Danio rerio: one gene and its partners. The protein of the gene in region 3 interacts with the protein of the main gene of each other region in a pairwise test. Links are inferred from orthologs where the notes say so. Each region holds a gene or a part of one and is shown on either strand. Other genes may lie near its edges. The genes, in order: akap10, akap1b, prkar1aa and si:ch211-3o3.9.

Region 1 (7,596 bases), on a different chromosome or scaffold from region 3:
AGCTCTGCACAAGAAGTTTGGCCAGATAAAAAAATAGTCTTGCCCAACTGAGCCTGGTTTCTCTCTAGGTTTTTTCCTTCACTTTCGTCAATTGGTAAAGTTTTGTTCCTCGCCCCTGGCTTGCATGGTTTGGGACCTATGAAGCTGTGCATTGATGGATTTGCTCTTCAGTGTTTGGACTTGAACTGAACTTCAACTCTAAAAAACTGGACTGACACGCTTTCAATTTACTAGAACTTTCATGTTAAGCTGCTTTGATACAATTTACATTGTAAAAGCGCTATAGAAATAAACATAAATTAAATTTAATAAAAAAATTTCATGGGTACTGACAAAACTATAGAACAATGTTACATTTTTATTTACTGAAATGTTGTCTAAATAATATCACATCAGAGGCTATTTCAGGGCAAATACAGATGGAACGACTGCTGATCAGCCATTAGAAGCAAGACTGATGTTAACAGTGTTTGAGTTTAATGGGGGTCTATGAGATGAGGAATCTCATCAGAGCATGTTTTAAATGTTGAAGCACTTTTCATAAAATCCATCTGAGGTGCTCTGAAAACCTAGCACCAGCCTTATAAAACGCAGTGAAGTGGACAAAGACTTGTTCCCTTTTAAGACAGCGAAGGCTCTCGGCAGAGAAGCCATGGGCTGATAGGATCTGACTCTCCTTCTAAGCTGATTTGATGTCTTTCGGCTCAACTGGCTTTTTCCATTCACTGCTTTTACAGCCTGGAGCTTCTTTGTATTAGCCATTAATGAACACTCAACTCCTGACTTCTGCTCATTTTGCACCACTGCCAAGATGCTAAATGGGATCATTTACCAAGCCTGCGCTATAAAACCAATGCCGTATGGATATTAAAAGTCATCGTCCGATACAAAAGGAATATGTTGTAATGGTAAAAGGCCACTAAGCATGGAAAAACCCATTGGAGTTAAGTACAGAATTACAGATATTAGGGTTTCTCTGTTGAAAGTGATGATTAAAATGCAGGCTAGGGGAAAATTACTAATGTGCTGCAAACTGTAAAGCTTAAATACTGTGTTTTTATATTCAGCTAAGACGTTATTTAAATGTCAGAGTTATCAAACTGCATTTTTTACGTAATTTAAAAAAATATTTGTTTACTTACCACTAGGAAAACTCCTACCTGTCAACCCTCCCGTTTTTCCCGGGATTCTCCCGTATTTTACTGTTCTATCCAGCTATCATCCAGTAAAGGTATTTTCCCGTATTTATCCCATATTTTCGGTCTTTCTCTAAACAGCTGAGCCTCCCTATACGCAACCCATACCGCCGAACCACCAGGGGTTGCCCCATGCTTTAAAACGTGAGTCTTCTGTGCTTTCGCTTTGTTTAGGAATGAAAACACTTTTAAATAAATACTAAAAATGGCGCGATTCCATTTCCTTTTGATTGGAGGTGCCGTCGCCAATCCTATACAATCCTCAAAACAGTCATATAATGGTGCATGACTGTCAGCTGACGTGCTCCATAGTGATAAACAGATGCTGTTTCCCAAACAGATTCTGTACATGCGATTTGAAGCGGAGAGAAAAAAGTCTGGCTTTTGGGTGCGTGTTTAAACAGACATACACACATAATTAATAATAATAATAACATATAAGGATGTCGATCTTGGCCTTAAATAAGCATAAAATGTAGGGAAAGCAGGCGAATGCTTTCATTATAACGTTAGATGTGTGCATTTTTAAAGTGACACCTGTTATTCAATGTAATAAAAAAAAACTTAATAAATGAGAGATTCCTTCGTTGTTCTTTAATCAGAATGTATAAGTTATACAGTGGAGAAATGGCTAATGAGATTTAATAGTTTGACTCTATGTCATTATAATAGCTATTAATTTTAATAAGCTGAACTGTTTGCTAATGTATTTGCTGCTAATCTATATATTTATTTCTCTTTTGTTAATAATTTTAAAACATATTACATGACTATTTAACTGTTTATTTACAATGAAACATTGAACATATGAATGAACATATTTAGTAATTTGGGGATTTTATTTGGGGGGGGGGGGGGGGGGTTGTTGGGGAAATCCCTTATTATGGTGGGCATATCCCTTATTTTCACATCCCAATGTTGACAGGTATGCTGATCATAGATATATGTATATATGTGAATATACGACAGGCTCTCAATGGCCAGTCCTCCACATTCATTTCAAAGGAGCCCTACCCTGTACTAAAATGGCTGTTCTATTGACGCATTTCTAGCGTACGTGACATCTAATGTAAATATCTGTGGGTGGAAGTGATAAACTCCAAGTTTTAGATGATTATATCAGGTTTATGTTTTCTAAACACAGATTTTGTCACTGTTTTGAAACGCACTAGCATATAAATTTCCCCAGAACTAACAGACCTAAAATGTTTCATTTTAATTTCACGAGATCTTAAAATACAATATTAAAGCACAGAATATATATATCGCGCAGCAACCATCCTCAGTGGAAAGTTAATGAGGTTGTCAAAAATGATACTCACTCTTCATAAGTTTGTCGGAGAGCTCACGAAGGCCTTTGACTGGTGTGCCCGTCCTGGACGAGGTCTGTCTGGTGGGTGTTTCTGATCGGAGCGCAGGCTGCAATTGAAGAGTCCCGGGCTGAGCCGTCCCATCAAAGCTAACAGAGTCTCTGTGGCTCATCAGAGCCCCACTGTGAGAGTTAGTGTCCTGGGGACTGGGGGTGTGTGGTCTGGAGGACGTCCTAGAGGAGAAAGCATCCTCTTCATCTCCCTCATCCAGATTTAAAGGTCTGCTGGAGTGGTTTGGGGAGTCAGGCGAGTCTGGTGATCCCAGGGCAGCTGCGGGCTCAGCCAAGGTGCTGTGTTTGACTGAGTTGAGGCTGTGCGCCCTAACCCGCGACCAGCTGGTGGAGCGAAAGCTTTCGGCCTCGAGCCAGAAGCGGACCAGGTGCTCGGCTGAGCGCGTCTCCATGAACTGAATGAAATAGGGCAGGGCCACATTGTCCCGCAAGATCTGGTCTACAGTTTTGGAAAGCCGAGATCGAGTCTCTTGAATCTGATAGTTGACACTTGAGCGACCTGAAAAAAAAGGACACATTTTAAAACCGGTGCTTAAGACTTATTCATCAATTCAGAGATAACAAACTTGAAGGGCTTTTCTACTGCATGACATGGTCCGGTTTGGTAGGATTCCCACTATGTTACTATGTAACTAGTATTTAACTTGGTGCTTTGTTAGTACCACCGTAGGTGTGGTTTTAAGCGAGCCGTACCATTACCAAAATGTGACACTATACACACTGCTGATGACCGATTGGTCGGAGAAAATGGTCACAACCAACGTGATTACGTTTGCGACATGATACACGAATCCTGACATATTTAAACAGTCAACTGCAGTCACTGCTGTGCTTTTGGATCGCACTGTATAGCTGGTTTAATGCTACTTGAAGAAAAAGCTGCCTGAAATGGTAGCATTATGTTACAAAAAAAGGTTCAGACATTCCCCTTGTTAGTTGTAGATATGGAATGATAACCAGTTACTAGGTTTACCAGGGTTTGGAAATGTCAAGGTTTTAAAATCACAAAAATGTTCTGTTATACAGTTTCTACGATATACTGTGTGTAATATTATTTCACATATTTTAACTAATCTTTTTACACCTGAAAACCAACATCCTATATACAGTAGATATGTCTGAACAGTGCAGTGGCTTACTTTATATCCAAAGAAAAGAAAGATGCCTTTTCATGTTGTAAATAAATCTGTGTTTTTGACACTAATGAAGATAGCAGACGTTTCAATTATTTAGCCTCCAAATATTTAGTTCCAAAATATGTCAAATGTAAGTTAAAATAAAATATTTTGCATTCACACAACAAAAATTTTAGTTTTTTACAGACAGCTAAAAAAAACATATTTTAGAGCAGTAATCACAATACCGTGATATTTTTATCCAAGATTATCATACTGTCAGAATCTTATATTCGACCCATACTTAGTTGCAGGACGAATGGGAATGGGATGAAGGAAAAAAAAAAAAAAACGTTTTCAGTAAGTCATGGAAGTAGAGGTGGCACAACTATAGTGATAACGACACACTTAAAGCAGTACTAAACAGTAATGGAGATGCAATCTGAGACAAGCAAAATAAAATCAAAGTGAGCCAAGCCAATGACGAATTTTACAGAACCGTAGCATGCAGTGGAAAAGCAGTTTCAAAGAAGCAACAACCAGATAAGGTTTGGACTGGTAGCAAATAGCTGCCTTATTTATGTAGTGCAAAATGTACTCAAAAACTGAAACCAAAACAGAAGCCAATAAATATAACAATAATAAAAATATATAAAAATATATAAAATAAATCTCATAATATACACAAAACACTATGAAAAAAATATTAAGTTCATAGCATAAAATAACATGAATTCTAAAAACAAACATCTAATAAAGTCAAAACACAAAACATTAACAAAATATACGAAACAAAATAAAGTAAAATAAACTATTAATAAAAACAAGTTAAAAACAAAACATAAACAAAAAATACCTTTAAAATAAAAAGATGCCTAAAATGGCAGCATCATATTCAGTAAAAGAGGTCCAGACATTCCTCCTCTTAGTCGCAGGATGGATGGGGGTTACAGTAAATCATTGTAGTAGAGGCGGCACAACTATAGTGATAACCCCACACAGTACTAAACTGCAATAAAGATGCAAACCAAAGCGCACCAAGCCAATAACAAACTGTACCGTACCATATCATGCAGTGGAAAAGCACTTTTGAAGAAGCAAAAACCAGACAAGGCTTGGACTTTGTAGCAAACAGCTGCCATATTTGTGTAGTGCAAAATGTACTCATAAAAACTGAAACCAAAACAGAACCCAATGAAAATAACAATAGAACATAAAAAATTTAATATAAAACTAAAAATAAGAAAATATCAAGTATAAAAAAAAATGATAACCAAAATACACTCAAAACACCATGAAAAATGAAAAAAAAAAATTCAGTTCATAACATAATCAGAATGCTAAATTCAAGTCAAAACATAAAACATTAACAAAATAAGCAAAACTAAATAAAAAACACTACCTATAAAAACAAGTTTAAAACAAAACATAAACAAAAAATACCATAAAATCAAATAAAAAGAACAAGCAAAACAAAAGAAAAAAATCCCAATAAAAACAAGTTAAAAACAAAAAATACCTTAAAATAAAAAACAAAACAAAATTAAATAACACTACCAGCAACCAGCATGTTAAAGACAACAAGTTAAAAACAAAACACAAACAAAAAATAAAATAAATAAATAGTATATAAAAAACAAAATAAAAACACTACCAATAAAAACAACACACAAAAAACTAAAGAACAAGCAAAACAAGATAAAAGATGAAAAAACACTACCTATAGAAACTATTTAAAAACAAAAACAAAAAAAAATGTAAATAACAAATAAACAAGCAAAACAAAAGAAAGTAAAAAACACTACTATTAAAAACAAAACATAATCAAACCCAGACCCCCCAAAAGAACAAATTATTAAAATAACCAAACACACAACACTGAACAAAACATAACACAATAAATTCCCAATAACAAAACGCACATTAAAAGGTTAAAAATAATAAATAATTAAATACAACACATAAATAAATATAATAAACAATAATATAACAACAGTCTAACGAACATAAATAATCATAATATTCAAAACTTGGCCTGGCATAAAATATCAACACTACAATAGCTAAACAAACACATTCTGTACAAGTGAACACCATTGATGCCTCGAATTCAGACTTGTGGCATCTCCAGATCACACCCAGCCATCTATTTCTAATACACAGCAGCAGCGCAAACTCTGTTCCATAAATCAACAAACAAAACAAATCTTTTAATAGAGCCGGGACCTCCTTTGAATGTGTCGAAAGAAAGGCCACACCCTCCTCTTTCAAAACCAGAAGATTGGGTTTAACATACATTTAACTAGGAGGTGAACTATCCAGTAACACAACGCAAAAGAGCCGGTAAAATACTATCCATCTTTATGTAGGTGTTAAAATATGACGTTAAAGGCATTGTGCTTGTTAAAGTCACCTCGCAACACTGGTTTGTCAACAAATACGTTTCAATGTTGCTTTTCTTTACATGTAAAAGAGGAGTCATTGTAACTCAGACAAGACCTTCTGTGCTAGATGATAATGCTGAAGATGACATTTACAGTATGAGGATTAAACATAGTAACATTTATATTTAACCAATTTAAACAATGGTTGCAAGAATTGTCTCATCTTTTGGCTTAAAAATATTCATATATAAAGTTTTTCAAAATATGGAATCCCTTTGTAGGATTTCTGAAGAAAGCTGATATGAATATTTGGTCTATATAGCTGTAACTTGTATCACCTGTTACTATTATACCATTGTTTGCTTTATATTGTATTTGTATGTTTCCAAGTGATTAGTTGCAGCTGAAAGGGTCTCCGCTGCGTAAAACATATGCTGGATGAGTTAATAGTTCATTCTGCTGTGGTGACCCCAGATTAATAAAGGGACTAAGCTGAAAAGAAAATGAATGAATGAATGTATGTGTATGTACAGTGCATCCAGAAAGTATTCATTAGAGCTGCACAATTAATCGTTAAAAGATTGCGATCTCGATTCGACCCCCTAAACAATCTTAATCCAGCATTTCTACGATTCTGCCAATCATATTTTCAAATTCAGGAGAGAAGAAAAGGCGAGTCTTTTCATTGTTTCACAAACGTTGCTCAGTGACACGGACACCTCCAAATGATGTTGAATGAGTCACATACTGTATTTATAAGGTAAAATTCACCTAAAAATGTCATTTTTTGTCTTCATATAATGATGTTTTGGCGATCGGGAAATCACACGTGACGTGAGCTGTTATCACAGAAAGGGCGCGCGCGCTCTACTTAATGATAGATGCTCGCGCGCCTACTTTAGTGAACAGAACCTGCATATGTTGTGAGTAACAGGTAATACAGTTGTAAATAATATTCAGTTTGTGGCACAGAGTGATCGTTTGGGAGCCGTGTGCGAAGTATGAACAAGCACTTACCAGTCAAAACGAAACCGAAAGTGTGCACTTCATTTAAATAATCATATCGCATATTAGAGTTATGATTACGACAAGCATTTGATTTGTTATTTCTTTTATAGCGAACCCACAGTTGTGCATAAAAATAAATGTTTACAATGTCAGTGTAACTACTCTAGCCTATATATTGTTGAATATAATCTGATAATGGCAAATGTCTGATTTTACCAGTGAATAAAACAGTCTAATATGACAGATTGCAAGCATATATCTCAAACATAATAATTCAACATCAGAATTATTATAAGTAGAATAGAATTATTTATAGAAACCAGTAGACCTACACATAATATTATTATCGAGGTTGTGCCATATGTTTGTTTTTACCATACCTTTATTTCACATATACAGAATCGTGAGAAGATCGTGATCTTAATTTTAAGCAAAAAAACAAAAACAAAAAAATAATCGCGATTCTCATTTTAGCCAAAATCGTGCAGCTCTAGTATTCATAATGCTTCAGT
Region 2 (7,596 bases), on a different chromosome or scaffold from region 3:
TTGATTTTCTGAATTGGTTATCAGGCTAATAGTTAACCGAGCTACATGCTCCACAAACCATCTCAAGCTGATTAGACCAGCAAGCATTTGGTTTGTTTATGGCCCAATCCATCAAGGACTCCAAATTATCTCTATTTTTCCATTAGGGGATTGTCATTTGGCTATTTTAAAGGTTCAATTCATAATCTAACTTTGAGCTGTGGTAATGTGTGTGGTGGTTTTGGAGAATGACATGGAAACATATGCTCTCCTGCTTTGTTCTCATGCCTTTGCGCGTTGAAGTCAACTCACACCTTCATTCAGCTGAATTATGTACCGAAGCCACATGGACGAGCGGTTTCTGTGAACTCATGGATAATTCAGGGCCGCTCTGAAGAACGAGCACTCGGTGGAGGGTTACCCGGTGAATTCGGATTAAACTGGAGATACTTGAAGCGGTCAGTACTTTGGACTAAATAGCTGCATGGGGTTGCAATTCATTCAGCGGCCTACCACGCGCACTGTAGGTCAATATCACCTCGCTAACTGGCTATGTTATGCGCGTCCGCTTTTATTTAATCCCATGACTTATGTTTATTGTGTCATTGCTGTCGGGAAATTAGCAAGCAGCCGCTTTTATTTAGCTCATTTCTCTCGTTAGCCCTTATAGCAGCTGCAGCAGCAATGGACGGTTAGCATGAGTGCTAACACGCGCAGCATTTATTGCAACCTCTCAGACATCTGGCGCAATGTGTGTGGGGACGTGCACTTTCATGCACAATTATATCATTGGCTTTAGCTGCATTGGCAGTGTGATATAACGCACGGAGAACGTCACTTTCGTGTGTCTCGGTGTAATTCTCCACCAGCAGCCGGTGCGCGTAACTGTTACCTCACGCGCTGGAGTGATCGGAGGTTCGCTTTTGTATTCTGAATGCTGCAGCACTAGTAAGCCGCTTACTTGCTATCAATGGGTTCGTAGGTAACGTGTTGCGCGAATGACTGGCTACGGTGCCCTCTCCGTTATCTATACACCTCCCAAGGTCGAACGGCCACCGTGCAGCACGCGCTCGGTTCTCTTTTCTATGGTCCGCTCGCGCACGCGCTCAGGCCATGATATGACAGCGAGCGTTAAACTCAGCAAGCATCTATTTAACCTCGTGCTGAAGGTGAACACTGGACTCAAACTGTTTCAGGAAGACTTCACTGAGCAGAAACTACTGTAATGTGACTACGTGGTAACATGAAACGTGCTCAAGACTGATAGCGCTAACAGACAGTGTAGTATTAATATTATGACTATTGTGTTCTCTGACCAACCTCCATATCTGGTACTATAACAGATTCTTTCAGAAGTACATGAGATATAGTTATTCACGTTTATTGGCAAGTACTGCTCGTCTTGCAAAATTGATGCTTGACAAAGACAACAGAAAAATTGGGCTGAACTAGAATGAGCTAAACTCATAATAATTAAAATGTATAAAATATGAACACCTTGGGATAATAAAAATATAAAACGAACTACATTTGTGCAAAATATATTTGTAGAAATTGTGACATTTGATGAATATATAAATAGACACATAATCTATCCACAAATAAATAATCTGAGTGTCAATTTAAATGCTATATTAATATAGTTTTTATGGCATTTTCTTTTTATTTTAGTGATTTGGAGGTTTTGTAACCCTTAAGCACACTTACTGCTTAAGTTCATGTACAGCTATCTTGTTTTACTAGTGTTGTTTCTTGTACAGTACATCTAAAAGGAGTTCTGCTTCACTGTATTTTGCAACCTTCTACAGATGCAACACCTTTATATACAGTCTAGGGGTGCTTTTACACACAATGCACATACAATTGGGAAATTCTTGGGTTTAAAAAGTTGTGTGTATAGACCAGTGTTATCAAAATTATTCCAGTAACTTCAAACAGATACACAAATACAATTAAAATGCTATAATATGCATGCCAAGCGGGTAGTTGATGTCTCTTTTATTTGTGGTTATGAAGTATTCGTATGATCGCATCATTATGATAGACATAACATGAAGACTCAGTTTTAGATGCATTTAACATTGTACTTTAACAGCTGCCCTCGCTTACTTCTCTCAATTACTCATTTACCCTCCACTTGTGCCAACCCCATTTGCATTTGTGATGATGAATGTAAATTGGTAGTTATCCTCTTTGGTTTGGTTACCAAGAATTTTCACAATTTATTGTTAGCAAGTTTTTAGCAACAGATGATAACCTAAGGTTTCAAACAAATGGAGGGTGATAATTGATGACAAATTTCATGTTTTTTTAATTACTTTTTAATGATAAATGTAGTCAAAATATGTTTGTATATTAAGATTCAACTGATAGACGTGAAAGTACTTTTCATTTACTGACAATGAATAAGTTAGCAGGTTCAGGTTGCTTTTTGAAACATCTGGAAGCTGACGAGAAACGGAAACCCCTTTATCTTTGGTAACTATGTACAGGAGTGAATGGGAGGGACTTGTGCATGATGTCTTCTTCCTGTTCTGGAGACTGGGAAATGCTGCTCCCATGATGGAAAGGCATGCATGAATGTCCTTTTTTTAACTCTGAAAGGATGCCCCTCCCAGCCAATAGCAAAGAGGTAGACATGTCACGTAGCTCCCTGCAGCCTCTGAGGTTGAATATCAGCCATGTGATATTGTCCCTGAAGTTTCTGCATGGCTGGCCAGGACTCTCCTGTCTCTCACTGTAAAGTAACAAGGCAGAATATACTGTAAACACTGTAGTACATAGGTGCAGAAGGTTTGATGCATATTATATAATAATCAATGTATGGATCTATGCCCATGCATGTTGTAGATCCATGATGAGGTGGTACTTCTCAAAATTTTGCACAGACTTGTGAACAAGACAAATGATTGTTGATCAGGGTGAAATTTATCCAGGATGAGGATGACTCACAGATTCTTTCACTTCCCAAAGGCAGTGCAATTTTAACTAGATACAAAACATTTTCTTTTTACATGCCTCCCTGGAATTCTTTCAGATTCTGATGGTCTGTGGTCAGATATTTCCTCTAGTTTACAGCTAAACATTCTGTGCCAAGTTATCTTTTGAATCACTCTGGCTGCTTCTTGCTAAATAAATGTAATTTCAACTCAAATCAGTATTTTGTGTCAATTTATTAATTATATTTAGTATCAATATGGAAAAAGAATCCCCTACGAAAAATCTTTTTTGTACTTTAATTTATTACTGAGGTTTGCTATTTGAGGCAAATTTAGGCAGTTCAGTTGTTTTCTTCCTCAGTTGTCTTTGTATAAACGTTGAGTTACTGATAAACTTTAACTGTGTTTGAAATAAATAAATACATTATAACATTAATAATAAGATTTAATAATTGATGTTAATGTGTTCATTATATTGCATCGTATCACAGCATTGTTATTTGTTACATATTGCATGGACAAAATTAGATTAATATCCGTTCCTTGTGTTGATCTGCAGGTGTAGCTGCTAGGGTCCAACGGAGATGCCACTGAGGTTCCGGTCCTTTGTTCCGTATACGCTTCCCGGAGTGCTGGCGCTCATAGGCTGGTGGTGGTACATCTCCCGCAAAAAAGAGCGAATCACCAGCCACGACAGTGAGGAGGACTCACTCATGGGATTGCGGACCTCCTCTGGTGAGGGCAGCAATGGGATGGTCGACAAAAGCTGCCCTGCATCCAGCAGCACACACCGTAAAACCAGCCAAGACAGAGTCAAGGCCAAAGAGCACAGGCCTGTTGAGCAGGAAGTGGTAGCGGAGATTCACACACCAGTGCTAAAAGCCACTGCAGGAGAGGCTCTTGGCACCCCTCCAGTTGTCTTAGCAAGTGGACAACTAAGCGCTCCTCACAGCGGTACAAAATCAGTCCCCCCCAAAAGCCACCCAGAGACCACTAGCCAGACAACTCCTGTGTCATCTTCAACCCCCACAAAAACAGTTGAGGAAACCCCTCATCACAAAGGACCAGATGTCGCAACTGATGCCAGACCATCAAGCCAGTTACCGCCAGCAAGCACTGATTCAATCAAGAAGCAGGTTGAAAACCAAACACTAACTAGCCAGCGTTCTGTAGAGCTAGCCAAAGCAGAGCGACCCGAACCTGAGGGAGAGGTGGCCACTGAAAGCTTAGCAACAACTTGTGCTCAAAATCTGCAGGCTGACATTTCTAAAGATGAACTGGCCTCCACTATATCTTCAACAGAGAGTGAAGCTGTCCTGCTGGAGACCTGCAGCCCAAAAACACCCTTAAATTTGACCTCATTTCCCAACTCCACCAGCACACCCCTCTCAGAAAGCTCCACTGGGGCTCAGCATCATGAGAACGGAGACCTGGGCCTGCCGGCTGAGACTAGTCCAGACTTGCAGGAGCTTCAACGTCTCGCGGCGGGGCTGATCACTGAGGTTATCTCAGCAGCCACCCAGGAGGTCATGGCAGTCAGCAGCTGTGAGTCCCGGTACAGCAAAGGTTCAGAAGCATCCGACGACAGCACACTGGCTCTAAATGGTAAAGAGGAATCTAGTCAACTTCCAAAAAGTGCAGAGTCCCGGGCGGCACAGATAGCAGAAGAGATTGTCAATGGTTGTCTAGCACCTTCGCTCTGGAAGATGCCGGAGAATGAAAAAGATCGAGGGTTGTTGTCTGTGCCGTCTGGAGAACAGTTGGAATCCACACCAACTCTGGCCAAGTTGCAGGCGGAGGAAGCTCTAGTGGAAGACTCCGGATGTAGCACGTGCCAGTCCGAGGATGGCGTCAGCAGCGAGGACCTTCATAGCACAGGGTTGTCTTCGACAGTATCTGAGAGCAAAGAGGACCTCATTCAAATTTCAGGGACTTGTAAGGCCACAGAGGGTCAAGAAGATAGACTGCACGAAAGTCTTGCTCTGATTGCCCCTCAGGAGTCACCCCTTACTGCAGAAAATGTGGCTACGGTTTGTGAGGCAGCACGGTTAAATGGAACAGGCCTTAGGAATGGTGCCGCCAGTGAGGTAGACGCTGACCAATCTGGAGGTGAGTTCTTGAGATTTTAACACAAAGATTTGACCTCAAATCAAGAATCAACCCCAAAAAATAATTATTTTGCCATTTTGAACCTGTAGAATGGAAATTCAGTTACATTTCAGTGAAGTTTGAGCTTTTCCTGATATTGCACACTCCATGTAAACTCCACCTGGGCAGGTTGTTTAATTGTGGCTTGTTTAACAGTGTATTATGTGGTATGTTTATTTCAAATTCATTCAAAGCCTTAGAATAGCTTGTAATTCACTTTGCTTAGTTTGCAGCTTGTCAGTTGTAAAGGAATTTTCTGCAAATGTTTTCAACCAAAATTAAGCTAATAATTTTATTGTTCACAAAGAAGACCACTGTTTTCAGCTGGCTTAGTTTATTTAACTCTAACCAGTGACAATACTCATATTGATGTTTGGCCAAATGTAGTACTTCAAAAAGCCTGAGTCAAGGGTACCTCAAACTGTGAATAGACTCTTTGGAAACCTCAGATGCTCAAGTTCCAAAACAGAGTATGTTACATGAGTACAATCACATGTGCACGGCTGTTTTTACTGCTCCCTGCTATACCTTACATGGTTATCAGCAGTCTCTTGCGTTTTTTTTTATTTTATTTTTTTAATTATCTGCTTCAGAGCAGGGGCCTCATGTATCAACGCTGCGTACGCACAAAAACTTTGCGTACGCCAGGTTTCACGCTCAGAATCGCTCACGTTTGGATTTACTAACAATGAACTGAACGTGGGAATGTGCGCAGCTTCACGGCAGCTTTCTGGCAGGCGTATGCACATTTTTTGTGCGTGTCTGTTTTATTTCCATTGGCGACTCCTAGAGGCAGTTGTGTTAAATTCCTCTCTACAAAGTGTCTGAGCCATGCAATGGCAGCTGTATGAGATGGGTTCAGCAGGTATATAAGGTTTCCATACCATACATTTGACCAGCTAAACATTAAAGCACAATTTGCAGCAGTCGCCTGTTTTCCCAATGTAATCTGAGCGATCTACCGCACGCACATTGCTATAAAGACACTATCTGAAGATGAATTTGCATGCGTGAATCAGAAACATTTCCATTCAATAAATTTGCAAATAAAATATGATGCTTATTGATATGAACTTATTGATGATTCCTACTTGTCTTTCTCGTGATAAATAGTTGGCAAAATCTGATATGTAGCGGGGGAAAAAACAAGAGTTCATCAGACGCTGGAATCGAGCCGAGTTCATGCTCGAACGTATCAATTCATGATCAAATGCGTCTTACGAGCGCGCCACTGAGACTGTTAAGCGTACTGCAACATTTTACAGATATAAACCAGACTATGTCTTTTTTTTTTAATGCACTCAGTGCGATATGTTCAGACCCAACTGTGTTGACCGCATCAGCTAAACTCTCCCACTCTATTTTTTTCTTTTGTTGTTAATTCCGGAGAACAAACTTGCAAATAACACCGCTTTTCTCCGGTCTTCCTCCGAAAGCAGCACCTCCAATTCACATTCTGTTCAAAGTTTCTCTTTTTGCTTGATTTTGTCTTTGCTTTTTCGTTGGGTTTTTCCATTAGCATAGTCATTAGCATATTCATATGGGGGAGGAGGCAGGGAGGGGTTTTGTGCTCGTGCATGTTGCGCTCAGTTTCACGTTCATTCAGATGTACAAAAGAATATGCGTGAGATTTGGCAGTGTTTCATACATCTGAAATTTTTTCTGCGTACGCACATTTACAGCTTTGTGTGTACGCAATGTTTTAGTATGATTTCCACGCAAGTCTTCGTACATGAGGCCCCAGGTGTTGGAAATGGGCAGTAGTAAGTTTGTTATTGGTTCTTCATCAATAGTTATAAACAAGAACATAACAATACTGGGTCGGTGACATCCAATGTTTGTTTTTACGGCCTGGGGCATTTCTCTGCTGATTTGATGACAGAAAAACTGAGTTATTTGCTTAAACACTTGTAAGGTGTTGTCACACCAGTCACTGCTTGCTGATCCTCCTGTCATATTGTGAGGTTTGTAGACTTGCTCTGATCCATTTCTAAAGGTCTCATTCTTAATACCTTGTAGATAGAGAGTTTCAAAGGAATTTGTCATGATATACTTTTGCATCTTGCGTGTTATACGTTCAGGGGTGTGAAACCTTGCACAAATAATCTCTGGAGTAAAAAGTGTCCAATTATATCTTTTAAAATCCTACATACCAAAAGGCATTTTGAAGTGGTCAGTTTTGTGCCCTTTGGTTTGCAATGAATTGCAATTCTAAGGTGGATTAATCCAGTCTGGAACACAGCCAGTCTTCAGCCCATCAACATTTGAATGAAAGGAGAAAGTGTAGCAAAACTAAAATTGCTTCCTTTCTTGTTAGTATAACCCAAGTAAATGAATAATCGTTGATACTGTCAGATTGAAGGAAAAGTGACTACACAGAAGAGGACTTACTGCCTTAAGGGTGTGAATAAAAAAAAACACAATAGCTTTTCGTCCTGAGGGAAGAGGCTTGTTTTGTTTGTCAGTGGTCATTTTCGTCTGTATTGGTTGTGTTTGTTATTGTTAACCCATGGTTACTTAGCAGACTGTC
Region 3 (8,049 bases):
CCACACAGAAGCTTTCGAGAAAAACTATTTTAGAAGAAAATTAACATTTCTGAAAACAGATCATTTATTTGAAGAACAATGTCGTAATTATAATTTGCACTTACATCCATTTCACCTTGATCAATAACGTAAAAATTATCTCCTTCATCCCCTAAAATGAGAAGCACAATACATCAGTTTAACTACTTTACACGTTTTATTACACCCTCATTGTTTCCACAAAAGAAGTCTCACCTTGCTGAATGACAGTCTCCCCTGCAATGTAGGTGACTGAGAACATGGCGTCAAATATGTCACTGCGAAGAGCAAAAAAAAGTGTTTAATGAAACGAAATCCTCCATTAGTTGTTCTCTATAATCAAACCAAACAATCAAAACCAAAAAATGTTTTACCTTCTTTCATTGTCGTCAAGATGAGCAAAAAGAACATTCTTTTCAATTGCTTTAGCAAGGGCAGCCATAGTTTTGTAGTCTTTAGGAATGACCTGGAAAAAAAACACCAAACAAATGCTTACATAAAAAGCAACTGAACTGAAAAAAAAATGTTATGAAATATTAGAGATAGGGCTGTGTGATATTGTGAAATTTTATTTTTCTGATGTACAAATTTCATCAGATGACTTCAATAGCTCTATTTGGATTCATTAAATTAGTTTAGATTGATCATGCATAAAATATAATAAACAAATGAAAAAGTAGTAGGCAAGCAAGCAAAAAAGTAAGTCATGGTTGAGGTTAGGATTAAAAGCATAGATAAATACAATAGAGCCAACAGTCACAGGTGTTAAAAACACAGGCAGATGATAAACTTTCTCTCTATTATGGTTAAACTCCTCAGCGAACCCACAAATCTGATGTGTTCTGAACTGTAGCTCCTGCTCAATTATAATCACAACATATAAAATCACATAAGACTATTGCAAACTTCAACATTACATTACCAATACTGAAATGATATATTGTGCTGCCCTATTTTGAGTCATGATTTATTGATATGAAATACTGAAATAATGCCATACAAAAACAAGTTTTTTTTTTTTTTTCAGAAAAGCAAGTAAGAAGTTATTTACCTTTCTGACATAAGAAGTGGCGTCCTCCTCAGTGTAGACCTCTGCACTGATGGCACCACGGCGCCGTCGGCCTTTAACCACAGGGTTCATAGGAGGAGAGACCTCATCTTCCCGAGAATCTGAGCGAGAGCTGGACTTCTGCTGGCTCACCATCTGTTTAGCCTCCTCCTGATTGACATAAACACCATTCGTGGAAGTGAGACTTACTTTTTATGAGTATAGAAAATGTGTAAGTGTTCAAGCCCATGCGGTTTTCCTCTGAAGAACACAACTGACCAACTCAAGCTTCTCGAAGTAGTCTCTGAGGTAAGCCATGGGTCTTTCAGGCCTGGCGGTGCACAGCTGCACAATGCAGTCCTTCAGCAGCTGCTGGATGTTGTGCTTCTGCACGTAGCGCTCACACTCCCGCAAGCTCCTCTCTTCTTCACTGCTCGTACTGCTGGACGCCATGATGACCTGCTGACCCGACACATGCAATTCACATCAGTTCATGACACTCAAGGAATCTGAAGTACAGAATTAAGATCTGACAAAAAGTAGATGTTTTGGAAGTTTTTTTTTTTCTGGTGAGCACTTGAGGCTAAGTAATGGGTGAGTAAATGGTCATGTTTGGATGAACTATCCCTTTCATTCTCCTTCAGAATACAAGTGGAAGATATTTGTAACGAAATCTGAGAGGTTTCGGTTCTTTCACAGTTTACACAACGGCCACTTTCAAGAACCAGAAATGTTGTAAAAACATAATTAAAGCATGTGACTCCAATAGTCCAACCTTATTTTTTCCTCACTGTTTAAAAGGGTTAAATTGATGTGTCATATGAGGAAACTAAAATCCTGAAGAACAGCAGCCTCAGAATCATTTACTGGGGAATGAGTTACATTAAAGCTTTCATCTGGTGGTGTCAGTTTCACATACTTGCACAGGTTTCCCTTGGTTTGCCATTGAGGAAATGCAAAACAACAGGGAGAAAGAAAGTTTTATACAGTATTATCTTTCCACAGTAGACGGCATCAACTGGATGCACTGTATTGTTAGAATATCTGTGCTCAGGTCAACACAACAAATTCCTCATGGAGCTCAACATGTGTCAGAATGTAGACATGACGAAACTGAAAGAAGTTATTTTATTTTGTACACAAAAAGCATTGCATCACCTCATTAGAATATGAATATAGCTCATGTAAACCTTACTAAAGTTTTACTTTTATACTAAAAATTTGGCACTTGAAAGTGGTTGTTGCATGGCCTGTCAATAGAAGGACAAACAAACCTATGAACAAACATCTCATCAAACATGTCCTAGGTATGGTAAAGTTATGAGTTTGAAACAACATTGGCAAGTAATTTTTTTGGGAATTTTCATTTTTGGAGACTTTTACTAAGTCATCTTTAGTGTATTTCCAGTTCACAGTCACACATGTTCTTTGAATGGAGGAAAGAAAATAAATGCCTTTGATGCAATAAGTTTTTATTTCACTGTAAATTCTAATATATCATTTAATTTTACATTAACGGTTTCTGAGTAACTAATTACTCATTAAAGGTTTTGGGCTCCATTTATGTGCAGCTGGAAGGAAGTGGTTAAAGGGTGTTCTCGCCAAGCCATCAAACTAACTTCACACAGAACATTGTTCTTGAGTGAAACATTATTTTCAGATTTTAACTGTAGATTTTAAAAATAAATATAATTTTTCTCTGGACTGGCACATATAAACTATCCACCACACGAATAATAATGTGCTTTATTAAAGTAAACATGATGAGTTTTCATTGCATAAAGAATTTAAATACAGAATTACTCAATATAACAATTGTTTTTGTACTGCTGAGACTTTCAGAGAAAACAGTTCAAGACACTAATAAAATCAGGCATCTGGAGTCAGCAGCTTCATTGGCAGCGCTCCAACCCAAGTCATGGCTCAGGGAACTTTCGTAATCCTGCACCCCCTTTCTCCCACTTCATTTCCTGTCCACTGTCCATATATAAATATTGTGTCGTATATCAAGCATACGGGAATAAATTTGGATTTTTGTGGCATCTTTTAAAACACTTACTATACATACATCTTTTGTCATTATCATGTCTTTACTTTGATATAACAGTCATATTAACATATCCATAGGGGAATCCTATTTTCTATTCTCCTACCCTTACACAAACCTTTCTGCAATTTTATCAAACATTTATTATCATTTTTAGTGATTAAGATCCACCTTTTCCAGAATGTGCCTACTGTGTTTTTAAAAATATGGGTGGTATTACTAGTTTTGGCCTTAAACTTTCATCATTTCAAATAATGAAGTTGAATTTCAGATTCATATCTGTAATAAAACTTGAATGAGAGGTATTTATTCTGTTGCACTTCATATTTAACTCTCATGAAAATAAATCAAATTAATACACTTGGTATTTTAACAAAACGTTACTCAAACAACGTCACAATAATATCTATGGCACGAGCTCTTTTCAGTTTGATGCTTTTGCTTCTCCAGATTATTAATTTTCTCTTTATTTTCTCATGTAAATAAAACATTACTGCAGAAAAACTTGTCTCATGACTTGCTGAAAGCAATTTGCTAATTATACTAACTTTCCTTTTAATAGTCAGTGGTTGAACTCAAATATTTCTGTTAGGATAATTAAATTTTAATTTTCAGTGTGAAGTTCTCATTTAAATTTTTTCTAGAGATCTGCCATTGTGGTATATCAGAGCAGTTACTTACATTGAAAGTTTGCATCCATTTTTTTAATCAGTCCTTATTGAGTTTAGTTTTATACATTTGTTTGTTGTAGGCATGGGACAATAACTGTTTTCAAGGTATACCGTAGTTGGAAAAGTCATTTTTTTTTACCTGTCAAATGTTTTTGCTATACCATTCCTGCGGTATATGCAAGATTTCTTTAATAATTTTTTTTGTTTGTTTTTTAGGACAGCAGTATCTCCAACAGAAAAGATACCCAAAAGTGGTGTTTCAAATGGTCCAGAAGTTTGTGTTTTTGAAACTAATAAAACAGCAGAAGTCTACGATTTATTTATAATATTTATCCTGACATGTTCACTGCTCCAAAATACTTAAAATGTTTCTCAAAATAAAATGTGTTCAAAGAGGGGAAAAAAAAAGTTTTTGTTTTTGAAACTGTGATGTTTTCATCTAAGGGTATAATAGTGTCAGAATCTTACACCGGCCCATGTCTACTGACTGTACAGCACTTTAGTACATGTGTAGCTGTAAAGTGCTTACAAGATCAAATAAACGAGAAGGATATGGATTGCAAATATTTATGAGAAATTGTAACTTTTTAACATCTAATGAATTTCTACCTGCACAGAGAAGTTAAATGTGTAAATTAAGAAGATTAAAAAAATGTGTGAAAAAAGAAGAAAAACTAAATGTGTAAAACATTCAAAGTTTTCTGTATAGATATGCATCTTTCTGGTCTTTTTATTTATATTTCAAAATGTCTTTCATGACAGTGGAAGTCCTCTGGATTAAACCCCACGTGAAACATCCAGGTCATAACCAAATCTATCATAAATCCATGCTAGCAGATAGTGATGTTGCTGTTAATACTAAATGTTACAAGCTTCCAAACGTGTTGTCAAACTGAAACAAACTAACATAAATCTTACATCGCATATCTAGTCTAAAATCTCTACTTTAACTTACAATGACACCACACAAAAGCGATATATACTGAACTTTCATCTAACTGTTGATTTTTGACAGCCATGCTATGGCTCCTGGTTCCTGTCGGGGCCCCTGAGCTCATAAAATTCGCAGTTCGCATCCCCACAGGCATTTCTCAACATTACGCCATTCGGTCATGCGAAAACAACCATTTTGGTCCAGAAAACATATTCCAATATAACTAGACTTCATTGAGTCAATGTTAAAGTGTTGATCGGCGTAATCCTGCAGCTTCTTCCAGCTCTGTGTTTTTTGTAACCAGTTTTGTCAAGCAGCAAAATACGCCATCTTGCAAACTACATTATCACAACAACGGAAGCCGATGGCATTAAATTAACGTCTCTACGAGCTTGTCAGCTCGCGTATCGACATCATCAAACGTTACAGTAAAAGCCGCTGTATTTAAATATTCATACCTGAGTCGCTTCGAGGAGTTTGTCGACGTGCTTTACTCCGTTTACACTGATTTTCTCACAGTCCTTGGATGGATGGACGCCTCACCGGAAAAGGTTATGACCAATCACAAACAACGATTGACGTCAATGCGCCTCGATCTGGGAAGCCGGTTTCCCCTGACAACCTTAAAGGGCAAGGGCTTGTTTTTGTATTTAGAGAGGAGATCGAGGTTATCAACCAGAAAACTCAGAACATTCGGCCGCACATGACGTGAGGGTATAAATCACATTTTACGCTCCTCCGGGAGTGACATTCAAATACAGAAGGACAGTATTCCTTACCCACGTGTTTAGCACTGAGAATGAATCTGGTGACAGCTGAAAAGGTTAATGGCTCTGTACATAAACCCAAGCCTAAATTGTGCCAATTCAAGCAGGGTCACAACACTGCGAAGATATGACCCCCCCTTAAAATTAATGTCTGATTGACTGTTATTACAGTACACCCTTAATAATCTAGATTTAAGTTTTCTTTTCCTTCAGCTGAATTGACATCCTGCAAAATATTTTCATTTCCTGAACTTATGCTATGAATCAGGCCATGCAAAATGTGTCAGGGTGAAACCAGGTCCTGTTTTAGTGTCTAGGTTAAGTTTACAAAACAGATTTACAATCATACAAATGTACAATATTATAAAACAGTTGGCGATACCCATTGAATCTATAAGTATTAGTGATATAGTAATTGTGTTTTGCATATATAACTTCTATAATAGTCTGTGTGTGTTCAGCAGATGTAAGATGCTCATAAACGCTTTACCCTCTTGAGATTGAGTAAATGGTTAATAAATGTATTTCTTTTTTGGAACTGTGCAACTTTAAAGGGCACCTATTTTACCACTTTTTCAAGATTTAAGATGAGTCTTTTGTTTCTCCAGAATGTGTCTGTAAAGTTTCAGCTCAAAACAACCATCAGATTATTTATTATACCTTTCTGGATATTTTCTGCTCTGGACAAACTGTAGCTGTTTTTGTTGCCTGTGCCTTTAATGCTAGTTCTCCCCGCCCACCATTCCCAAACTTGTCAGAGTGTGCCACAATCTCAGCTGAGTCAGATAAACAGCACAGTGACAGACAAGAAGGAAGCAGATCTCACGTAATGTTTGTGAGAAATACTACAGTAAGAACTTTACTGATGCTTATTTTTTATGTATTTGTTGTGGAGTTTATTTAAGCCTTTCGATGAGTCACACAGAGTTTTATTACAAAGTGTACACACGCACACACACACACACACACACACACACACACACACACACACACACACACACACACACACACACACACACACACACACACACACAGCACTCGTGTTGAATTTTGCACTGATTTTGCAATGCGAATGTGAGAGGATACATGTTATTATCCACTGCTATATCGATATCTGTAATGTTAATGTACAAAATAAACCTGATTTAACGTCCACAAACCGAGATTGAAGCTTCTTTTATAATTGTACTGACATGCGGCTGTGGTTACAAGTAAAGATGGTAAAATTGCTGTAATTTCTTACAAACATGCACTGTTTTAAAAAAGTTTTTTAACTTGTAAAACTCACTCTTAATAACATTTGGTGATGATTGATGATCACAGAGAGCTGAACAGATCTTTTAATCTCAGTTGCTATGCGCAAGTCCTGTATTGTTGATATTATTATATGCGTTACTATGGAGACATGTTTATGCAGCTGTCAGTCAATTCGGTGGGCGGGGAAACCGCACTCTTACGTCACGTGTCTCTTTAGCCCCTTTCACACATACAGACCTTTCCGGAAAATTGCCGGCAATTTTCCGGAAAGGTTGTATGTGTGAACAGGTCCTTTTTGAAAATACCGGTAAATTCGTTCTGGCTATTTTCCGGAAAGAGAAGTTGTAACATTACCGGCAATTTCCCGGAATGCTGCGCTGTGTGAATGCAGAAGGAAGATTACCGTAATAAGCGCGTGCACGTCTAGAACGTGCTGACGTGAGACGTCTGCTTTAGCCAATCACAACATTCAGACGCGTTTACGTCCGCGCGGTTCATGAGAATAAAAGCCTTTGAATATTTTTCCAGACACATTTAGCTGCTAGAAGTTAGTCAGATCACGTTTGTATGTTCTTCTTAATGCCAACTGTGTAAATAATCATCGATGAGATGCTTATGATAAGCCGTTGTTTGTTTACCTTCAAGCTTTGCGTGTGCCTGTGAAACAGCCTGTGAGCGCCTGCACACGCACATATTATGAATCTCGACATGCGAAAGTGATCCTGCGAAAGTTGTTCACAATATTGATCATCCACAGAGTTTGTAATTTATAGTCAAATGTTTACAAATACAAGCGCAGCCGTTCAAAGCTCATTTGTAGTGAATGATGTCAGAATTTACCGGTATTTTGGAATGGATGTGTGAATGCTCTTTTCCGGAAAATTTCCGTAACATCCTCGCCTGTGTGAACAGCGCTTTTTTCAATATACCGGTAAAGTCGTTCCGGAAATTTTCTGGATATTTACCGGTATCACTGTGTGAAAGGGGCTATTGAGTGCCTTAATATGGGAGAGATTTGGATCCTATTTTAACATTTATTTAAATTTTTAAAAAGACATGTTCTCTTTACATCACGCCAATATGACAGTGGAGACACTATACCTACACATAGTTCTGTCCAAACAGCTTCAAAAACATGATTTTCATCATAGGTGCCCTTTAAGTTCAACTTAATTCTTCCACGAGTGAAAATTTCTCCTTTCTTCCAGAGTGAGCGTTTGATTTTTGGTTTCATCTCCATATCAGCTAACTGAGCATCCCTTAATAGACTGTAACTTTCTTCCCGCAAAATCACCAGTTTACAGCAG
Region 4 (8,082 bases), on a different chromosome or scaffold from region 3:
CTTGGATTTCATGCATCCCATGATATAAATAATGTAGCATTGGTTTGAAAGCAGTGAGGGGAAGAGATGCGAAGATGGCGTGATACAGAGGTTATATTCCCTTGGTTGGCAGTTTGTAGGCTTTTGTTTTGTAAGAGCGAGAGGCTACGATGTGGATGTCTTTCTGTATAGCATGTTGTTGAGACAATCCAGATGGTCAGCCATGATGTATAGCGTCCACATAGCCACCTTACACTTGCCCTGTGTGAAAAGGATGCAGGGTTGCAGTGAGTTATTGCTTGTCTTTGCCTGGCTAAATATACGTTTTCATGAAGACTATTTTTCACATTGTCTTCTTGGCAACCTTGTCCATGACACTGTAATAACTTCATCTTCACAGCAATGAGGCAGTATAGAAAACATTGCATGTGCTTAGATGCATGAGCCTACTACAACCTGAAATAAGTCAGCAAGCCTGACTGCTTTCAAAATACTTTGTGTTCATGCTTGTAGTTCAGTTTTCTAAATTTGTTTGATTTGGACCAAAGTTGAAAATTATACATTTCCATTTTACAATTTGAAAGCTTGTTGAAGTGTTAGTTACTTTTTATTATTCGCTCAGAAGTTAGGAGGATCTAATAAAAGAAAGTAAAAACAGTACAAAAAATTCTTCATTTGGACATAAATGTCAAAGATCTGCTGCAAAGAGATCTGCTTCTGACATATGAATTGAACAGGTATGCTTGAGCACTCTGTCTCTTTGTTGTCAAATCTTGACATCATGTCCTGTTTTTAATTAATTTCTGTGTTTTTGTTCTGGTTTATATTTCCGTAGCACCACGCCGGAGTTAAACTAGAAGTGAACCAAACCCATTGTTTCAGAAGTCTCTGTCTGTTTGCCTGATGCACACTAATGTTTAGATGGTACTGTCCACAATTATTCAAATAAAGCACTCTAAAAGAGTACTTGCATTAGAATTTGTCATTATGGCATCATGTGAATCTGACAATTGTGACGTGACCAGGGGCGTAGCCCAGATTCTTGGGTCCTGTAGGGCCCCATTTACATTTTACATGATCCATGCCATTTATCACATCTTTAAACACATTTCCTTTTCTGGTATTTCACTGATGTGAAAACCGTCAATGGTATTAAAAGATGAACAAACAATATTTTAAAAAATGAATAGAATTTTTAAAACATGCAAAGATTGGCAGACGGCACAGCAGCGTAATGACATCATCTGATTAATATTCAATTATTCATGTGAGCAAAATTACATAAAAATTCATAAGAAACGATTTGTTAAATATGATATGCAATAACTTTTCAACCTTGTTGTGGGCTACAGGTGTTACACTTTTATCTGTCAAGAGTATTTATTATTAGTATTAGTTGTCAAGGGTATTTATTATTAGTTTTAGAGGGGATTTTCTTTATTATAGTAGCCTTAGTAGTATTATAGTAGCCGGTTTCTTAATCACTGTAAGGAATAACTGGATGTATAAGTTGCATATTGTGCATGTTTATTATCATACACAAATTGTACTAAAGCAATTGTACGTGTTTGTATCTAAAAAGTTAATATCAATAAATTTTCTCTTTGAACCACTTTGTGTCGTAGTCCAGATTGCATACGTTTACATATATATATATATATATATATATATATATATATATATATATATATATATATATATATATATATATATATATATATATACTATTTTCCCAAGTGAACATAACTACTACTGTAAGAAAACATCAGAATTCAATACATATTTTCAGTATTATCCTAGCTAGAACTGACCCGATCTTCTCCTAAATGAAATGAGCCTGCTCCTGAGCAGGTTTGAGCTACCAGAACTGTTGCTATGACAACAACTTTCGGATGAGTTTTGAAGAACGAAACAATCCTGGATTTGGTCAAATCGTCAATAACCAAATCCAGCTAATTGAGTAATCCACGTACAAAAAACAAACACCTGGAGGGCCGCTGTCCTGCAGATTTTAGCTCTTGCCTCAACACACCTGCATGGATGTTGAAAGCCTAAGACCTTGATTAGTTAGCCCATGTGGGTCTGATTGGGGTTGGAACCAAACTTTACAGGACGCTGGCCTTCCTGGACCGAGTTTGATCACCCCTTGTCTAAATAGTGCTATAGAGGATATGCTTAATTTTATGCTATAAATAGAGCACCTCCTCTTATTAAAAATTAAAACTTAATGATTTTTAACATTCTAATTATTTGTTTTATTAGCTGCAAAAAAAAAAAAAAACTTATGATGGAATCTATGGATCGCACTTTACAATGGTTCTGGGCATACAGTTGAAGTCAGAATTATTTGCCCCCCTTTGAATCTTTTTCCTTTTTAGATTTTTCCCAAATGATGTTTAATAGAGCAAGATAATTTTTCAAAGTATGCCTGATAATATTTTTTCTTCTAGATAAAGTCTTATTTGTTTTATTTCAGCTAGAATAAAAGCAGTTTTTTAATTTAAAACCATTTTAAGGTCAAAATTATTAGCCCCTTTAAACTATATATATATGTAGTATATATATATAGTCTACAGAACAAACCATCATTAGTCAATAACTTGCCTAATTACCCTAACATGCCTAGTTAACCTGATTGGCCTAGTTAAGCCTTTAAATGTCACTTTAAGCTCTATAGAAGTGTCTTCAAAAATAGAGTAAAATAATATTTACTGTCATCTTGGCAAAGATTAAATAAATCAGTTATTAGAAATTAGTTATTAAAACTATTATGTTTAGAAATGCCTTGAAATAATCTTCTCTCAGTTAAACAGAAATTGGGGGAAAAATAAACAGGGAGGCTAATAATTCAATAATAATTCTGACTTCAACTATATGTTGATATTATTAGTTAAGTCAAATATCTAATGATATGTGCATGTTTTTATTCATTAGCATATAATGTTTAAAGTAACCCAGTTCATATTTAGCTCAATTTAAAGCTTCAATTCGTATTTGCATGAAACCATACTATTAATTTACCTCGTTGTATCTACAAATAAGCTATCATGTAGTTATAACAAATGTTCATGTATAGCACAGACTTTTTATAATGTGCTTTATTTGAAACGCATCTTAATATTCTCCTCCTGGACTCGTCGGTTCATTTTGTTCACACTGAAATGCACTTACTTCGGTTCAATGGGTCTATGAGGTGTTAACTCCGGGCCGATTCAGTTTGATTTTGGTTCAACTGATCGTCCAAATGATTCGACTCAAAAGAATGATTCGTTCACGGATCGGACGTCTATTACAGTAGCCTATTTATTATCCTGAGAAACGCTGCTCCTGAGGATGGCTAACGACTAACTTTCCTCACAACGAAAGCCGGTTGACTCGTTTTGCTGGTATAACACAAATCGATAATGCCTCATTTATTAATATAAATCACGTTCTGTGAAGGATATTGTGGATTTTAAATGTTTTTAGGCATCTGTTCATATGAAAGCCTATATTAATATTTTCCTCGGTATTTATTCTTTCCGCCTGACGCTCAAATCCGTTGTTTACATCATATGCACATCAGACAAGGACAACCGACAGTCACTGTCTGGAAATCTAAAGTGATCAACAGTTTAACAACATCATGATATAGGCTACATATGATTGGAACGATATATCCAAGAGAAGACCGAGGTTACATTTCTAGCTCTGTTTTCAGGTGTGTTTTTAAATTTCACGGTTCGTATTTGAGTCAAGAAAGCCTCAAGGTCAAGGCAAAATATTATTTCTGATTGGGGGAAAAATGCACGATGTTCTGGTTTTGTAATCTAACGCTAAAAGTGCACATTCCTGTGATATAATCAGAGTGAGTACATACCTATTCAGACTGAAGGCTGTAAGCTTCAACAGAATGGACAAAACATCGAAGAAATCATTTCATCCACGTGGAAATACGTTATTTAAAAGGAAAACTGAGATAAATCCACACTAATCTGCTTCCTCCAGTCTCGGTTGCTTCACCGGAGAATGAGAAAGCATGTTGATGAACTTGCTCTCGTAGGATAAGTCGGGTCAGAATTCAGCATGTGCGTCCGGAGTCCACGTATAATGATGATAACGTTTCAGTTTCATTCCAGTGACAGGACAGCGATGGAGCTCAACACTGCATTAATCCATGTTGCTTTTGAAGCCCCTCTATCTATTCAGAAACGGCCATCCATATGACTTCATTTAAAGCTAGTGAATTATTCCCTAATTCTTTTCACGTGCACACTTATTTCCAGCTCTCTTTGCTAAAACATTTGTTTGTAAACTGGGTAAAATAGGTTACTGCAATACACGCAGACACAGGTTGCGCCTCGGTGTATTTTGAAACACTATCGCGCCATCTAGTGGACAGACATGACTGTTCCTAATGCAAATATGCAGAACTCAATGCAATGCAAGGGCCCACCCTAGAGAGAGGTATGAAGTATCTCGCAACATTTCAAAAGCTTTTAGTGAAATATGAGAAAGCAAAATGCATTATTCTGATTCCACGCAGGGAGAGAACTACATGCTGAGATCGACATACATGAAATAATTCAGGTTTCATCAAGACTCAGTTATAGGGTTGTGAGTCCTTATGCCCTCTAAAGTAAGTTAAAGTAACACTGATTAAGAAATATTTTTTCAGTTTCTTTGTTTTCAGTATGATGCTGCGTGCTTAATAAAGGGATACTGAATTATTTACGCACCCTCCCCTTGTTTTAAACATTTGAGAGTTTGTTTATTCTGTTTTACACAAGCTTTTTTTCTATACAAAGGGGTTGGACAATGAAACCTAAACGATTGGTTTTAGATAATAATTCAACAATAACTCATTAGTATGGTCCAATACAGCATCAATACAGCAATACAGCCAATACAGCATCAATTCATCTTGGCAATGACAGATACAAGTCCTGCACAGTGGCCAGAGGAACTTTGAGCCATTCTTGCAGAATAGTGGCCCGGTCACTAGGAGGAAAACATTTCCTATTTTGCTCCTCCAACACACCCCAAAACGGCTCAATAATATTTAGATATGGTGACTGTGAGGGCCATGGGAGATTTTAAATTTTACTTTTATGTTCGTCAAACCACTCTGTCACCAGTCTTACTGTGTGTATTTGTGCATTATCATCCTAAGACACGGCACCACCTTCAGGATAAAATGTTTGAACCACTGGGTGCACATGGTCCTCCAGAATGGTTTGGGAGTCCTTGGCAGTGACGTACCCATCAAGCACAAGCATTCGGCCTAGGGAATGCCATGATATTTCAGCCCAAACCATCGCTGATCACCCCCATGCTTCACTCTACAATAGTCTGGGTGGTATGCTTCTTTGGGGCTTCTCCACACCGTAACTCTCTCGGAAAGACAGTGGGAAAAGACAGTGGGAAAAGACAGTGAAGGTGGACTCATCAGAGAACAATACATGTTTCACATTTTCTACTGCTGGCACCACTGAAACTGTTTGCATTGGCACAAGTGACCAAAGGTTTGGCTATAGCAGCCCAGCCATGTATATTGATCCTGTGGAGGTCCCGACGAACAGTTTTGGTAATTCTGCAATGAGTTGGGTAGCTATGGTTTTATGTTTTTTTTTATACAATCCGAGTTAGCAGCCAAACATCCCTTTCGGACAGCTTCCTTTTGCGCCCTACAGTTACTCCTACTGGATGTGGTTCGTCCTTCTTGCTGTCTTGGTCACAAATGCACCAGTGAGACGTGCACCAACAATTTGGCCACTTTTGAAATCTGATATGTCACCCATAATGTTGTGCATATTTTAAGCGAAGCTGTGCTATCACTCCGGTGATTATACTTTCACACTCTGCTCTTACTAGTGAAATGTGCAGTCAATGAAGATTGGCCACCAGGCTGGTCATATTTAACAATGAAACCTTCAACACTAAATTGACCAGTTTCAGTTTCATTACCCAAGCACTTTTGTATTTATTTTTTAAACTTATCCTGGTTGAAAAAGGTGATTGTAAATGTTGAGTAAATCCATCTAAGGAATTAAAGTGGGGGAAAAACTACACTATAACTTTCCATTTTGTGGAAGGAATAGTTTGCAAAAATGTCAAAAGTTGTTCATGGAACCACTGAGGTCAAGTGGTTTTACACTGTAAAACCCAACAGTGTCAACTTTGTCAAATGAAATGAGTGTAGTGAACTCAAAACATACTGAAAGTTAATTCTACTCATTTGAAGAGTTTTGATCTCAGTGTTGAAGGTAATGAGTTGATTAAATACCTCATTACTAGGGCCAGATGGAATCTGCAGACATTTTTTGCTATTTCTGCGCAGAATTTCTGCAGATTTATGCTGAATGATTTTGGGAGTATCATAACTAAAATCTGAATAATATATGAAATAAAAAGTAATATCTTTTTAACTTGTATTTAATGTTTACATTCCAAATCCAATTAGATCCACTTTATTTGGTAAACAAAGCAAGTCTCTCATATAATATATCTATCTAGATTCCGAATGGGCCTACTCATTACTTCAACTTAAATGGAGTAAGTTCACAGTAATCATATAGATTAGTTTTTTTAACTCAATTTTTTTGTTGCAATCGGTTTCCTGAAATGGTTTGAGTTACCTTAAATTATTGGGGTTTACAGTAAAGGAATTTTATTTTTAATAATGTACAATAAGAAAAATTCTATTCACTTTTGATGTCATTTACTATCAGTGACTATTTGAGCAATGGAAGTGTGGCATTGAATGGTATTTGTATACATGCCAAATAAATAAATGGATTTGAAATATTGATTCGCGTTAAAAATATGCTTATTACAAGAGAAACCAACTGAAACTGATGGGAAATACTTGACAAGTCTTGTTTACAGTTTAGTGATCGCTGACTGACATCACAATTGCCCTGGTATTCAGTGAACCATAATGTCATTTTATTAGCCTACAACATATGCAGACTACTAGAGTATCCAAAATATTTTCTGATGTAAATAGGAATGTATGTATTGTCTAGATCTGTGTTAGTTTTGTTTATTTTGCATGTCACCATCATACGTAGAATTTACTTTACAGGTATTCGACTAGAAAGATCTACATACCTCACCTGGTTAACGCGTTACACATGTAGTTCCACAAGATGGCGCAATTTATCTTATCCACCGTTCTAAATGAACTGAAAATGCCGCAAGTACATGGGAGTGTGTTGAATAAATAAGATGAACTGTGATTAGTTAAGATCTTACTGCTAAGACAGAGGAATTGGACTGACAGATAAACGCACTGACAGAAGATACGTTAATTTTTATCCAATTACTTCTTTTCAAACACCACATGAAAAAAGATAAAGGCAGGAATTGAGAATATAGGGTGATTTTAGCATGTTATTCACTATATAAACTAGCAAATTAAATGATATAACTACGAAAATGAGTACGGTTATTGTGTTATATGCGTAAATATAACATGTAGCCTTTGTCAGCTGCGTTTGACAAAAGACGCAAAGTGTGCACGCACGGAAATATGTATTTTAAATGTTTGTATTTTTCATAAATCTGCATAATTTCTCAGGTTCAAATGATTTCCCCACGAGTCCTCAAAGATGTGTTATACCTCTTTAAGAGCTGCGAAAGAAGTCCAGCTCTGTCCATTAGGTTTATTGTTGCCAGCTCAGCCAATCATTGAATCTTACGACACAATAGAGTGGCCAAAGTTGCAGTATAAAAAGCCTTGCCGAATTTAAGCATGACATCTACTTGTCCGGTGCGTGGTGAGGTTCATTTCCATAGCAAATCAGAACATCAAACATCCTTTAGCACGCCTTGGAACATGCATTTTACACAGGTTTTAATTTCTCTAAGTGTATTAATTGCATGTGGTCCAGTGGGTTATGGAGATATAACGGCGCACCAGCAGCCTTCCACAGCCACGGAGGAAAGCGAGCAGTGTTCCACATGTGAGTTCAGACAACACAGCAAGCTGATGAGACTGCATGCCATCAAGTCCCAAATTCTTAGCAAACTCCGACTCAAGCAGGCTCCAAACATCAGCCGGGACGTGGTCAAGCAGCTGTTACCCAAAGCACCGCCTTTGCAACAACTTCTGGATCAGTA

The links.
Region 1: the proteins of prkar1aa (region 3) and akap10 interact in a two-hybrid assay, tested with the Homo sapiens proteins (3 studies listed by BioGRID and IntAct). The link is inferred for Danio rerio from reciprocal best matches to the Homo sapiens genes PRKAR1A and AKAP10.
Region 2: the proteins of prkar1aa (region 3) and akap1b interact in a two-hybrid assay, tested with the Homo sapiens proteins (2 studies listed by BioGRID and IntAct). The link is inferred for Danio rerio from reciprocal best matches to the Homo sapiens genes PRKAR1A and AKAP1.
Region 4: the proteins of prkar1aa (region 3) and si:ch211-3o3.9 interact in binary tests that used the Homo sapiens proteins (3 or more experiments, as listed by UniProt). The two-hybrid records come from large-scale screens. The link is inferred for Danio rerio from reciprocal best matches to the Homo sapiens genes PRKAR1A and AKAP19.

The regions. Positions count from the first base shown.
Region 1 is NC_133180.1:67,931,632-67,939,227, reverse strand, and holds part of akap10 (A-kinase anchor protein 10, mitochondrial), read right to left. Parts: intron 3,077-7,596; coding exon 2,519-3,076; intron 1-2,518. UniProt on the Homo sapiens protein: Differentially targeted protein that binds to type I and II regulatory subunits of protein kinase A and anchors them to the mitochondria or the plasma membrane.
Region 2 is NC_133190.1:33,449,318-33,456,913, reverse strand, and holds part of akap1b (A kinase (PRKA) anchor protein 1b), read left to right. Parts: exon of another isoform or gene 1-437; intron 438-3,477; 5' UTR 3,478-3,502; coding exon 3,503-5,027; intron 5,028-7,596.
Region 3 is NC_133178.1:35,125,918-35,133,966, forward strand, and holds the start of prkar1aa (cAMP-dependent protein kinase type I-alpha regulatory subunit), read right to left. Parts: upstream 5,275-8,049; 5' UTR 5,177-5,274; intron 1,529-5,176; exon of another isoform or gene 1,526-1,528; 5' UTR 1,520-1,525; coding exon 1,346-1,519; intron 1,238-1,345; coding exon 1,070-1,237; intron 485-1,069; coding exon 393-484; intron 297-392; coding exon 235-296; intron 152-234; coding exon 105-151; intron 1-104. UniProt on the Homo sapiens protein: Regulatory subunit of the cAMP-dependent protein kinases involved in cAMP signaling in cells.
Region 4 is NC_133184.1:42,660,283-42,668,364, forward strand, and holds the start of si:ch211-3o3.9 (small membrane A-kinase anchor protein), read right to left. Parts: upstream 4,289-8,082; 5' UTR 3,839-4,288; intron 241-3,838; 5' UTR 22-240; coding exon 1-21. Other genes in the region: mstnb (growth/differentiation factor 8 preproprotein), read left to right, coding at 7,799-8,082.